Caenorhabditis elegans: one gene and its partner. The protein of the gene in region 1 purifies or fractionates together with the protein of each later gene. This does not show direct contact. Each region holds a gene or a part of one and is shown on either strand. Other genes may lie near its edges. The genes, in order: wshc-2 and F21D9.1.

Region 1 (5,785 bases):
AAGAACATAATCTTTTAATTATTTTTTATTTGCTACTTTCGTATTGTAAAACAATTCATGTCAGCAAACTTTTACCAAAAACTCACAATCCACTTCATTCCATAATTGATATTTGTCCCATGATCATCATCGCATAACTTCCATGTACAAAAAAAATAAATACTGTTGAATCAACTGTGAAAAATAAATTACACAAAAAAATAAAGTTATTTCTGAAACATTTAAAAAATTGTATTTTTTTTAATAAATAGTTTTTGAGAATTCATAAGATTTGTGAAAGCTTCAAAGGACTTGCTAATGTCAAATTCAAAACCTAATTTTTTCTTTAATGTGCCCTTTTAATAAGTTCTTGGCAATGCTTTTTGGCAGTTTGAAACCTCAAACTTTGCCAGCTCTTTTGTGGCATAGCGGCCGGAAATTAGTTTTCTCTAGTTATCTATCGACAAAAAATATATCTGAATCACAGAACCTACAACACTAAAAAGATTGCGCCATTAGAAGTTCTAGATTCTAGTTGGCCACATTTTAAAAGTTCTTTTCACAAAATTCGATATTTTGAGACAATTTACACACCAGAAAAAAATTGTAAAATGTTCATATAGCAATTTTTACATAACTTTTCACAATCTTCATATATTTATTCACATGTTAGACCCATTATAAAAATTTCAACTAGTTTGACGACGACGCATTTGGACGAGTTGGTGGACGGCGGTTTGAAGGACCTCGGCAGCGACTCTGAAAGGTTTTCTTGGTGTTTCAAATAACAGACTATGTACTACCTTCAAAATACTACCGACGTGATCTTCTGGATTCTCAGCAGCGACATCATTTTCATCGCTAACCGGTAAGTTTTTGACAGGAATGTTAGGTGTAGAACCCGGGAGACGGAATGATTTTTGTAAGTCTCCTATTAGTGATATTTTTGCAGACATTGTTTCGCTTGGTGGCTCTTTTTTGGTAATTGATGGTTTTGCTGGTTTTGCTGGTTCAGATGATGAGGGTTCCTGAAAGCTAGTAAAAACGCTAATCATATGTATTTTCAGAAATCAATCATACCATTTCAGGTTGAGTGACAATTGACGAGTTTCTGTTTTTGGGAGCGATTGGTGTTTTCGGTTTTGTGGGTAGAGAGAACAAGTCTGAGTCAGAGTCACTATCATCAAAGAGTGACTTGGCGGCTGGTTTTTTGAATTCTACTTTGGGGATTACTGCGGTAGTGTTGGTGACAGGTGTTGGTTTTGGCTGCAATTTACATACTCTGTCCAGTGTATTTAGAACAAAACTTACCGCTGGAATATCAACAGCTTTTGGAACAACAACTGGCTCAATAGGCTTCTTCACAACGGGAATGGATTCCGTTTTAGCAACAGGCTTTGATTTTGAGAACGACTTTAAAAAGTCGTCATCAGAGTCCGAATCTGATGAGAACAAAGATTTTTTCGCAACTGGTTTAGTGGCTGGGACAGCAGTATGGTTTGTGGGTTTGACTTGAGGTGGCTGAGAAGGTTTTGGAGTCTCTACTTTCTGTAAAATATAACATTGTGAAAATAGGAGCATGACATTTCGGAAAAAAAATTGTGGCTTCGTGATGAGCGAAATATAAAGCTGAGCAAACAACTATTCACTCTATTCACTAACCTTGACCTCAACAGGCTTGGGTGGCACCGATTTCTTGACAACTTCTGTTGGCTGCTTCTTGATTGATGTAGTTGGCTTGAAGATGTCCGTGTCCGAGTCAGAGTCGGAGTCAAATAAGCTTGACACGAGCTTTTTAGTGTCCACTGGCTTTAACTCATTTGCTAAGATTTTTCTTGACAGAGCAGACTCGTCTGGTTTCGCTGGAGTCGCTTCAGCCGGTTTCACAGGAGTAGCCACAGCTTTTGGAAGCACCTGAAATACAATTTCATTACGAGTTTATTGTTATAAATATTTTAACAACCTTTGAAGCGGCTGGCTTTTCAGTTTTTGCAACCGTTGCAACTGCAGCGATGACTTCAATTTTTGGATGGCCAATCACAATCACCGGATCAGCAGAAATACTGGTCTTCACAACTTCAACCGTGCTTGTCTCCAGTTTTTTAACGGTCACCGATTCGGTCTCACTACTACCAAGCGGCTCACGATCCGTATCCGAATCAGAGTCCAAAAGCTTGGCTTTTGCGGCAACCTTTTTCTTCATTTCCCCAATCACTGAAGCCATAGCCGCCGGTCTCGTTGGGCCCTTCTCAATTGGCATAGCACTTTCGGATACCAATTTCTCATTGTGATGCTCTGCCAGGCTATTTTCGTTTTGTGAAGTGATACTAGCAACTTCTTTCGGTACGTCTTGAGGTGAGTGTTGAATCCCATTTTGACCGACTTGATCTACCAAGATGGCAGTAGTTGATGGAGATGGTTTTGGTGGCTTTGGCTGTGGCGGAGCTGAAAAAAACAAATTTAGTTTTGTGAATTTCTCATGTCAGGGCATATTCTCGTATTTATAAAGAAATAAAGTTCAATAAAATAAAAATGTATAAAGCTGGTTGGGAAAGTAGCAAAAGTTTGGCGAAGAAGTTGCGGGTGGCTAAAAAATTGTTCCTGTGAATTGGCGTTTTGTGTAAAAGGGTTATTCAAGAAGTGTCGGAAAATAAGAAAGTGTACAAAAATGACGTCACAGCTACATTGAAGTACAAGTTTTTCAGACGTGACATCATTTTTCTACATTTTTTTAATTTCCGACACTACTCCATAAGATTTAGGCTTGATAACAAATTCGTATCCGCTTATGAACGGAAAAACGTCGTTCTTTCCGTTGTCCTACCTTGAACTTTCAATATGAGTTATAAAATGTAACTTCCTGGATACATCATTTTCGAATTGAAAAACCCCACCTGCCAGTGTCACCGGCTCCTCAACGGTTTGTGCTACCCGTGGACCTATATCGATTTTTGGCTGCTCTACGCCATTTCCGATTTCCACACGTGATCTACTAGACTCCACAACTTCATCTTCATCTGAGCTAGATGCTCTTTGTCTATTCCTATTGGCTTGTGGTCTACTGGCACTTTGTCCATTTGCATTACCATTGGTTTCAGACTGCTCTCCAATATATCCGGACGTGAAGACTGTTGGATTTTCCTGGAGTTAGAGATTTTTTAAAAGTTTTTTGATGAATGAAAATACTCACCAGGAAGTTCATAGTGTTTCCGGCATTGATAATTGCGTTTTTGTAAGAATCCAAAAATTCCTGAGTGAACCCGCTGCTTTTTCTGCTATCAACCCGCATGTCTTCAGAATTTGGAATGTTTTGGGTAGAAATAACCTGAAAAAATGGAAAATTTATGAGGTATGTGGGAGGCTTGTACTTAAATTGAAATTTTTGGGTCCAATGACTTCAAAATTAAAAAAAAATGCTGACCTGCCTAACTGCTTTGTGATTTTTAAGATTGGCCATCCGTGATGCTGCACTATTAACTCGTAATGCTACAAGTCTCGAAAACTTTTCCAAATCATTGGCTTTACGCTCGACTTGTGTCATTCTTTGGTTCATTCTTGTTGATATGTCACGAGCCATTTGAGTCAGCTGAAATATTGATTGAGTGAATTATGAAACCATGAAAATGAAAATATATTTACCTCTTTATCGACTTTCAATGAGTTTGGATTAATATTTGTGTTAAGGCACTCATTGTGTTGCATTTTTCCCCGTTTGGCTATTAATTACCAAATTCTGAAATAAAAATAAGTAACTATCAAAGTTATTCAAAAATTGTAATGAACAAGAACCGATAAAAAAATAATAATAACCAATTGTGTAAACAGACAAAAGTGCGCAGCTGGCGCATTTCTCGAGAGTAGTTGCTGACGTACTACCGGTGCAGTGTTGCCGCTGCCCATTGCGAAAGAGTGCGGTGGAGAGAACGAGATAACGCAAAAAAGGGAAGGCGGCTGACACACAGTGAGAAAAGATGAATGGGAGTCTTGTGGAAATGTGAAAAAATATTGCAGAGAATGTTGGAAATAACGTTATAACTATGTAAAAAATCTATAAGTTCTAAAGATTTTTGTATGTTAACAGTTGAAAAAAAAACAAAGTTATTAGGTGAAAATATTGTTAGAAAAAATTGAACTTACATCATGATGTTGGAAGGTTTCCGAAAAAAAAAGTTACCTAAATATAGTTATAAAAAATGCCAAATTGGTCGTTTATCTTACAACATTTCGTTGATTAAGTTAAAATTTAAGTAATAGGTATTCAAAAGAGATTGACATGTGCAATAAAGAATGAAGTAGAAAAAAATTTTTCACCTTTGCGGCACGGACTTATTTGCAAAATTTGGGTTTTAAGTTAAAAATAAGGACATAATTTTCTCGAAATTTTGCACCTCTATAAAAAAATTAAATTTTTTTTGAGACACTTTTGAGAATTCTCATTACGAAATTAGTGCATTTAGGCAGATTTTGAGTTTATACAAAGAAAAAACCCAAAGTAGATACTCCTCTTTTATGTGCATTTTCGATTGAAAAGTGCTCAAAAGTTGACAAATTAGCACACCAATCGACCGAAAATTTACTTCCAGCTATTCCCAAAAACTCTGAATTCGAGTGTAATCGTTCAAAGGTGGAGTACAAAAATTTGAGACGTAGCTTTTTTTAGGCCCAAAATGGCTTAAAACTACCAAATTTTGGAATGAGACGTTCTGAAAATTTCTCAACCAAAAGTTATGGTGCCGCTCAAAGTTTTGGAAAAACTGGGCAATTTTTCAGTGTGGAGCTTAATTTTCATTCAATTATTATCTTTTAATGTCTTCACAATTTATAGTTATCTCGTTAATTAAGATGTTTTTTTGCCGATGCGGGCACACTTTCTATACATTTTTGGAAGCTACAAAAAAGTTGAGATATTAGCTAAAAAATGAACGTTTCTTTCAAATCATAACTTTTTTTTGAGAACAGAACGTCTTATTTTGAAATTTGGTAGTTTTGGACCATTTGAGTTAAAAAAGCAAAGCCCGAATTTCGGTACCCTCCCTCTTTTAAGCCTGTAAAAATTTAGAGGGGGGGGGGGGAATTTTTTGAGATAGTTAAACCGTTTTTTGAATGTTAATTTCATGAATTTTAGAAGCGTGAACCTAAAAAAATACCGCATAATTCATTATTTTTGTTAAACCATATGCCTAATAAATTTTATGTTTTTATTTTGGCAACAGCAGCCCATTTGTTAAGTGACCCCATATGCAGCATCGATACAGTTTTTTTTTAATTGGTGGTCACTTTTTTCCGTCTCAAAAAAAAACTAGGTTATCTTTTTTTCACTTTTCAATCTGTCCTTTCGAAGATGTTTTGATATCGCTTTCGTAAAAGATATGCAGTTTTTTTCCTGAAAAATAGAATAGCTGGACAAACTTTAACTTAACTTACATGCCCATTTCAAATGTTTCTTTCAAATTTCCCTTCTTCCTTTACCCTCGAATGCACATGTTGCAAAATCCAGGTCACCGCAATAAAATACCATCAAAAGTGGAACAAAAGTTCCATTTCTTTTTTATCCGATTCGAAAGAGAGAGAGAGAAAAAAAAAACATCTACGCGAATTTAATCGGGTGTCACGCAGTGCTAGCCGTTGCACAGGTCATTGTTTGCACGGAACCAACTTGCACTGTTTTTTTGTGGGCGGAGTTGAAAGCGAAAAAAAACTATCTAGGAGGGAACTGGGTCACTCGGATGTCCACAGTCTGTCCACTTTCAATTCCTCTTCATTCGTGCAGCCGTTTTTTGCTGTGACGTAGTAGTGGGTATATCTT
Region 2 (7,980 bases), on another chromosome or scaffold:
GATTTTTGAAATCTCTCCAGATTCATCAAAATTATCCACATCAGCGTTTCACTTTGACAAAGGTCACGTGCCATTATTGTAATTTTTGTGCAAAGTTTTAGTTAACAGGCGTGTCATTTTTACGTGATAAAATGTAATTTATTCTGTTTTTTGTTTTTTTTTACTTTGAGCAAATTATTCGATATAAAAATATTTCCTCGAACACATGAAAAATCTCAGTTTTTTAAATCAAATAACTGAAAAAAACAGCGCTTTTCAACTGTTGATTCCAGAATTATTCAGAAGTTTCTCGTAACTTTTAGAGAATGCATAAAAAAAAAGAAAAGTGTACAAACAGAATATTTGATTAGATTTCCGTATTTCCACATGTTTCAATGCCATTTTCCTGTCATTTTTCAATGTCATTTTTCCTGTAATTTCACAAAACTATAAAATATTTTTTCACATAAAAATAGTAATACTTTTGATAAAACTATAGATTCAAGGTCTCACTCAATTTCAATTTTTCTTTTCATTTTGTATACTAAAATAATTGATTTGAAAAAAATAATTTCAATCTCCTTAAGATATTTTTCTCAGAGATTTAAGATTGGAATTTTCGTGTCACAACTCTGCAACCATAAAAGAACTGAAATGTATTAAAACAAAAAATTGTTCCTCATGTTATGAGGCTAATTTGCTTAGTTAACAATTTTTTGTTAGTTTTTTCAGTCAACGAGCTACGGGCTTCCAAACATAACAAAGTCGAAAACCGCCACAAACCGCAATGCCTTAAAATTTATATAACTCAGGCAATTGCTAACCAAATCTCGTTATTGATGTTTCGATATCTTCTTTGAACAACTTGTAAAAATTGTAAGGCGGTAGTTATTTGATAAAATTTGTTGGTTTTCCGTAAAATACCGTTAACCTTTCAAAAATGCCTATTTTTGGCTATTTTTGATGGTTTCAGGCCTAAATCTTGTTTTGGAAACTCCGGAGTCACTTTTTTTTTCAAAAAAACTGTATTGTCAAATAAAAGAGTATTGTCACTTAATGACCGGAAAAAAATTCTCCACAATTATAAGGCGGCTATTTTTTTTTAATTTGTAAAAAATCGGTCCAGAAAACTCACTGTCTCGCCCATGAGAGACGCAGAGACAGTTAATCACTTTATTTAGTTTAATTTTTGAATTAAAGAGAGGCTGTGAAATTTTTCATTTTCCGTAAATCTTGTCTCAATGTTTTCTTGTTTCTCCGATGTCCATTTTATTCATATTATCAACTTTTCGATTTCCGAAAAAAAATCGAAACATTTATTTTTTTTCAAACAATATCTAAAAACCTAAAAATCGCTTTGTTTATTAAAGGTGGGGTCAAAATGACCGAATATCATGATTAAAAAAATTTAAAAAAATTTTCTAGATTTTATATGATTTTTTAAAAATTGAAAAAATCTCAGTTTTCCCATAATTCCTATTTAAATTTCCGCCAATTGAACTCGTTCGTTGGAGCACGCTTGCATTATTTTCGTTAATTTTTAACCATTTATTTTCATTATTTCACTGATTGTCTTCATTTTTTGGGGTTTTTAATGGGAAAATGAAAGAAATTAACAAGAAAAATGCAAAATGTCTATTAAAAAGTAACTGAAAATGTCTAAAACTCTGAATAATAGTACCTTCTTGTTAATTTCTTTCATTTTCCCATTAAAAACCCCAAAAAATGAAGAAAATCAGTGAAATAATGAGAATAAATGAAAATAATTAATGAAAATAATGCAAGCGCGCTCCAACGAACGAGTTCAATTGGCGGAAATTTAAATAGGAAATAGGGGAAAACTGAGATTTTTTTCAATTTTCAAAAAATCATATAAAATCTAGAAAATTTTTTTAAATTTTTTTTACTATGATATTCGGTCATTGTGGTACCATAGGCGTGTTTTAAAGCAATTTCCCCACAGGGTGTAGTCCACCTTTAAGTGTAGAAATATCGAATCCCAAAATCGATATTAATTTTTGCCAGGCCAAAAACGCACAATGCAAACAAAGTGAATAGTGGCACCATCTGTTACATTGCAGCTGCCTGAAATTAATATCGATCTTTTTTATTTCAAATACTACTAGTATCATTACTAGTATTTTTCTACTGTAAACTGTGAATTTCAAATGCATATTTCCAAATTACTAGGCACCTTATATTTCCGGATAACATTCAAGGTAGGCAAACATATATGTTATTAGTTAATCTGGTTTTTTTTAGGAAAAACCATTCAAAATACTCAATCTACCGCTTGTTGTTTTGAAAAACGTGATGAATCAAATGAATATTCGTTCAATGTAAGTTTGAATCATTAAAACTTTTGGAACAAAACTAATAGTCTCGGCTAATTTTTAAAGGTGGAGTAGCGCCAGTTGGGGAATTGTTAAAAACCTCTTCTTTGGTCCCAAAATGTCCAAATATCATGATAAAACTTTTCCAAAAGTTTTTGAAAATTTTTTATTTGCTGTCAAAAAGTAGCAATTACTCAGTTTTTGCCACTCATAATTTTGGAAGTTGACCGAAAAAAAATTTTTTTCGATATTTTTTATGTTTTAATTTTGTTCAAATTATTTGTATTAAACCATTGTAGGGGTTGAAACATGCGACATTTCTTTAAATTTCCTCAAATGCTCGTATTTTTCAAAATTTTGGCAATTTGCCAAAACTTTGGCCGGAAATTTTGAAAAATCTAAAATTTTTTGGGGTATTTTATTATGATATTCGGTCGTTTTGAATCACTATAAGTGCAATTAGACAAAATCCCCACTGGCGCTACTCCACCTTTAAAATCCAGTGTGTGATGTGACTTCAAAGTTTTCCGAGCTTGAAAAACGGCAAATTCAGCAAATTTTGCCGCATATCTCTGTTATGTATCCCGTTTCTTTTCAGTTTCAAACTATCGAAGACATCAAAAAAGATGTACAAAAAATTGAGATACGCCAAAAGGAACATATACAAGTTAGTTATCGACAATCACTTCGAATATGACGTTGGAAACAACTTTCCTCTACTATACCAAAGAATCATAATATTCGAAAAAAAGAACGACTTTGTGTCCGTCTATCGTGCAATGTGTAAGAAAAAGTCTTCAGATCCATCAACTTTAGCCAAATACAGTGTGCATTTCTGGGTAGAGTGGTTTTAGTGAGTTTTTATAATTTTTTAAAGGTCGAGTGCCAAAATGCGGGAAATACTTCTAAATTACTTCAAATTTTCCCCTGATTCCGAATATCTATTTGAGAAACTTCAAGAAAATTTTCCTGATTTTTTATTTCAGCATAAAATCGCTTGTGCACCAATGAGTTTTTACAAATGCGCGCCTAAAGAAATTTTCATTGGAGCGCACTTGCTTTGGGTCGATTTACGGGAGCGCTCCATGTTTCTCCTGCGTCACGTGATGTCAGAGTGTCACATTTCGGTTTGATCTACAAGAATTGCGGGAGTTTATGCGCGTCTAGACACACATTTCTCAAGTGATTTCACATGGTTAAGAACATGCTGACGCACAGTCTCCTCGGCGTCGAATTGGGCTGGGGCGCACTTGCTGACACCTTGGCGCAGCCGGGGGAGGGAGTGAATTTATTTAGTGTTGAAAAATAAACTTCGTCGTTTTTTAGCGTTGAAACGAATTTTTTCGCAGAATTCGAACTTAACATTTGTTTATTAGCACAAAATGAAATGAAAGACCATTAAAAGAGAAAATTTGGTCAAAAACTGAAGGAGGAGAAGGGATATTAAAAAATCAACTGTAAAAATGGTGTTTCTCTGAAGATCTTGTATATTTCAAGTCACCCACCTTCGCAATCATCTTCTTTATCCTGAAGATAGTTATCAAAAGAAGCGGGCCTATAATTTTGGAATTCTAGTCTATTTTCCGCGTAATTTCGGAGAAATCCACAAAATGCGCCAGCAAAAACGCGCAACGCGCCAGTAAGCTGGTTTTTGTGCGCTTTCGATGACGAGGAGACTGTGTGACGTCACATTTTACTAGGCAAAAACTTCCCGCATTTTTTGTAGATCAAAACGCAATGGGACAGCCTGACACCACGTGGCTGCTTTTTTTTTCATTTTTTCAGCGTATTTCCTCTATTTTTGTCGATGTTTTGCCGGTTTTTTCGTGAACTAACAAAAAATAAATGTAGCATTTTATTAGCTCAAAACTCTCAAAATTGTATATTTTCAAGTCAGATCTCGACAAACACGGACTTCTGTTGAATTTTTGGGAGAAGAAAACACTGAAATCTTTTCGAAATCCAACTGAAGTCCGTGTTTTTCGAGATCGGACCTGATAAAATACAATTTTGGGAGTTTTGAGCAAAAAACTGGCACAACAAACAAAGGAACACGCTGAAAAAATGAAAACATTCAAAATTAAAAAAAGAGCTCCCGTAAATTGACACAAAGCAAGTGTGCTCTAATGAGAATTTTTGGGCGCGCATTCGAAAATATTAATGAGGATTTTCAAGCTCAAATGTAAAATCAGGGTAATTTCCTTGATATATCATACATAGATATTTTTCACACAGACAAAATGAAACTTTTCCAAATAAAATTTCAGCAAAATAGACAAATTCGGAGAAAGAAAACTTGTTAATTCGGTATACAAATATAGAAATGCGAAAAAATGTTGGAAACTCTTAACTCGATTCGATGAACTATTTTCAATCGACCACGTGGATTTGGTAATTGATAGGAGTAAACTTTTTCGGTTTCACACAACACTAGAACATCCATTATTTCGAAAATGTGATTATGTGGAGATTGTTAAAAGTTATTCGTATTTGACGAACAATGATATGCAATTTGTATTGAACAATTTCAATTTGAAAAATGGAATGCTGGTTAAATGTTTGTTTTGGAAGGATTTCAAACTGGAATTGGTGAGTTTAATATCCCTTACTAGACGATTGCCTCGAAACATACACTTGCCGGTTTGCCGATTTGCCGGAAATATCGAGTTCCGCCAATTTGCCGGTTTGCAGATTTTCCAATTCCAGATATTTGCTGGTTCGCCGATTTGTCGGAAATTCACAATTCTTGGCAAATTTCCGATTTGCCGATTCGCCAAAAATTTTCATTTTTGCCAATTTGCCGAATTGCCGGAAATTGTCATTTTCAGCAATTTGCCGGTTTGCCGGAAATTTCAATTCCGGCAATTTGCCGATTTGCCAAAAAAAAATAGTTTTTGGCAAATTCGGCAAATTTCAGATTTCCGGAAAAATATGCCGAATTACCGGACATTTCAATTCCGGCAATTCACCGATTTATCAGACAAATTCATTTTTTGGCGAATTCGACAAAGAGGGAAATTGCCGATTTGCCGGAAATTTTCAAATCTCGGAAATTTTCATTTTCGGCAACTTGACAATTTTCCGGAAATTTCAATTCCAGCAATTTGCCGATTTGTCAAAAAAAAATCGTTTTCCGGCAATATCGGCAAATTGTCAAATTACCGATTTTCCGGACATTTTCTATTTTTGGCAATGTATTTTCGGAAATTTGCCGGAAAATAATAGTTTTCCGGCAAGTTCGGCAAATCGACAGTCCGCTGATTTTCCGAAAAAAGTCGTTTGCCGCCTGCCATTTTTCCGCCAAATTGCCGGTTTGCCGATTTGCCGGAAATGTTCAATTCCGACAATTTTCCAATTTGCCTAAAAAAACTGTAATATCTCGAAGAAAAAAATTTCGAAAAAAAAAACCCAAAAACCTCTCTCCGTTTATTTCACTTTTAGAAAATATATTTGAAATTTTCATAGATTATTGGGTATTGAAGTTAGTCCTGTTTTTTCCTAGATCTAGCCAATAAAATAAGCATTACAGCTGTTCAAAATTCCTCGATTGGATATTTTCAATGCACAACAGTTCACACTAGATGTATTAATAAAAATGGATTGTAAGGTCATCAAATTATGGAAACATGAACTCGGACCACACCATATCAATCAATTTATTCATTTGTGGATGGCGGGAGCAATGCCCAATTTACGAAGACTTCGCTGCAACGACTTTTGTAGCCCTTGGCAGATGGATGAAATTCTCCGTGGCGTTGAACATTCGAAGTGGGATGGGGAACGTCGAGCAAGGATTTTTTGGTTAGTGGATTATTTTTTAAACAAAACAAACTATTAGTTTGGAGACTTCAGAATTTTCATGGCGTTTTGCAAAAAATTTTCAACTACTTCTTTCTTAAAAATTAGTTTACCGACAATTTTGTTTTGAAAATAATTTGGTTCACCTATAATTTTGTGCATTTGTTATCAGTTTATTCAGTTTATTTAAAGGTGGAGTAGTGCCAGCGGGAAAACTGCTTTAAAACACGCCTATGGTACCACAATGACCAAATATCATGATTAAAAAATTCAAAAAAATTTCCTAAATTTTATATGATTTTTTGAAAATTGGAAAAAATCTCAGTTTTTGCCTAATTCCTATTACCGCCAATTGGACTTGTTCGATGGAGCGCGCTTGCACGTTTTTAAATTTATTTATTTGATTTATTGTTATTTTTCACCGATTTTTAATGTTTTCGGTGTATTTTTGCTTGAATTTTAGATAAAAAGTCAAAATAAATGCAATTTTACGATTAAAAAGCAGAAATACAGGCGTAAAAATGAAAAAGTAAACGATTTCGAACCTGAATTAATTAATTTCCCAGATTTACGCTTGTAAATTAGGTTTTTAATCAAAAATTAGCATTTATCTTGACTTTTTCTCTAAAATTCGAGCAAAAATACACCGAAAACATTAAAAATTCGGTGGAAAATAACAAAAAATAAAATAAATAAATTTAAAAACGTGCAAGCGCGCCCCATCGAACAAATCCAATTGGCGGAAATTCAAATTGGAATTAGGCAAAAACTGAGATTTTTTAAATTTTCAAAAAATCATATAAAATTTAGAAAATTTTTTTGAATTTTTTTTATCATGATATTCGGTCATTGTGGTACCATAGGCATGTTTTAAAGCAATTTCCCCACTAACGCTACTCCACATTTAACATTTCATAAAAATAAAAATTCAGAGACTCTAGTCCAACTTTACTCCAAACGATACCTACTTTTCAGCGATGGAATTGAACGAATTAACTGTGGAATTGGAGACGATATCGTTCGAAATGATGGAGTACTTGCAACTGTGTTTTACATAAATAGATGTGTCGATTTTCTTGTATGGCATGACAACAAATTTTAATAAAATAAATAGAATATGCAGTGTATCATCATTACTTATATATAAAAAATACATTTCGTCTGTCGATAGTTTGTAGTCTATTTAGTCTTTGTAGTCTGAAAAGTTTTGGCTTTTGACTAGATATTGGTTTAGGGTTAGTGTGGTCGGGGTACTGAAGTAGTACTGTAGGCTAACTGTAGTTTTGGAAATATTGACTTTTCGTCTTTTGAAGAGATATTGGTTTGGGAGTTAGAAGGGGATATGGCTGTAGTACTGTAGTACTGTAGAGATATTGTAGGACTACTGTAGGATTACTGTAGTTTAAAAAAAGTGAGTTTTTGTCTTTTGACGTATCTTCGAACTTCTAGAATTTTTTTGGAAAATCTAGAATCTTATAGAGTTTCTGTTGACACTCCGTCTGAGAGGAAGCCAGGACCTCAGAGTGACAAATTGTGGACGACGAAGGAATGCGAAATGTAGGATGAGCAATGCGAGTTCATAACAGTACACAGTTCACGAAAATCCAAGTTTATTAGCAGGGCAGCATAGAGCTGGAATAAACAGGGAAAAAACGGCGAGAATATTTAGGAATATTGGGACGAAGATCGGCAGGCGGGCAGCGATGTCGTCGGGAGAACCAGAATGAAGAGAATGGCAACATTTTAGGCCAATAATTAATGTGAGCAAGGGAATAAACAGCGCGCGCTACGACACTCCGGTGTACAGTGGCGCGCGCTTGTATCCTTGGCGGCAAATTTGAATTATAATTATTTAATTTAATTAATTTAA

What was found.
Region 2: the proteins of wshc-2 (region 1) and F21D9.1 fractionate together in Caenorhabditis elegans (co-fractionation; one large-scale study listed by BioGRID). This does not show direct contact.

What each region holds. Positions count from the first base shown.
Region 1 is NC_003284.9:14,745,236-14,751,020, reverse strand, and holds wshc-2 (WASH complex subunit FAM21), read right to left. Parts: upstream 3,719-5,785; 5' UTR 3,682-3,718; coding exon 3,619-3,681; intron 3,566-3,618; coding exon 3,401-3,565; intron 3,305-3,400; coding exon 3,170-3,304; intron 3,121-3,169; coding exon 2,874-3,120; intron 2,425-2,873; coding exon 1,943-2,424; intron 1,894-1,942; coding exon 1,642-1,893; intron 1,528-1,641; coding exon 1,291-1,527; intron 1,246-1,290; coding exon 1,060-1,245; intron 1,015-1,059; coding exon of another isoform or gene 1,008-1,014; coding exon 783-1,007; intron 739-782; coding exon 673-738; 3' UTR 579-672; downstream 1-578. Other genes in the region: C05G5.3 (Matrix-remodeling-associated protein 7 helical domain-containing protein), read left to right, coding at 1-2.
Region 2 is NC_003283.11:19,262,450-19,270,429, forward strand, and holds F21D9.1 (F-box domain-containing protein), read left to right. Parts: upstream 1-1,998; 5' UTR 1,999-2,147; coding exon 2,148-2,198; intron 2,199-2,241; coding exon 2,242-2,318; intron 2,319-2,910; coding exon 2,911-3,165; intron 3,166-4,579; coding exon 4,580-4,901; intron 4,902-5,841; coding exon 5,842-6,113; intron 6,114-7,085; coding exon 7,086-7,212; 3' UTR 7,213-7,230; downstream 7,231-7,980.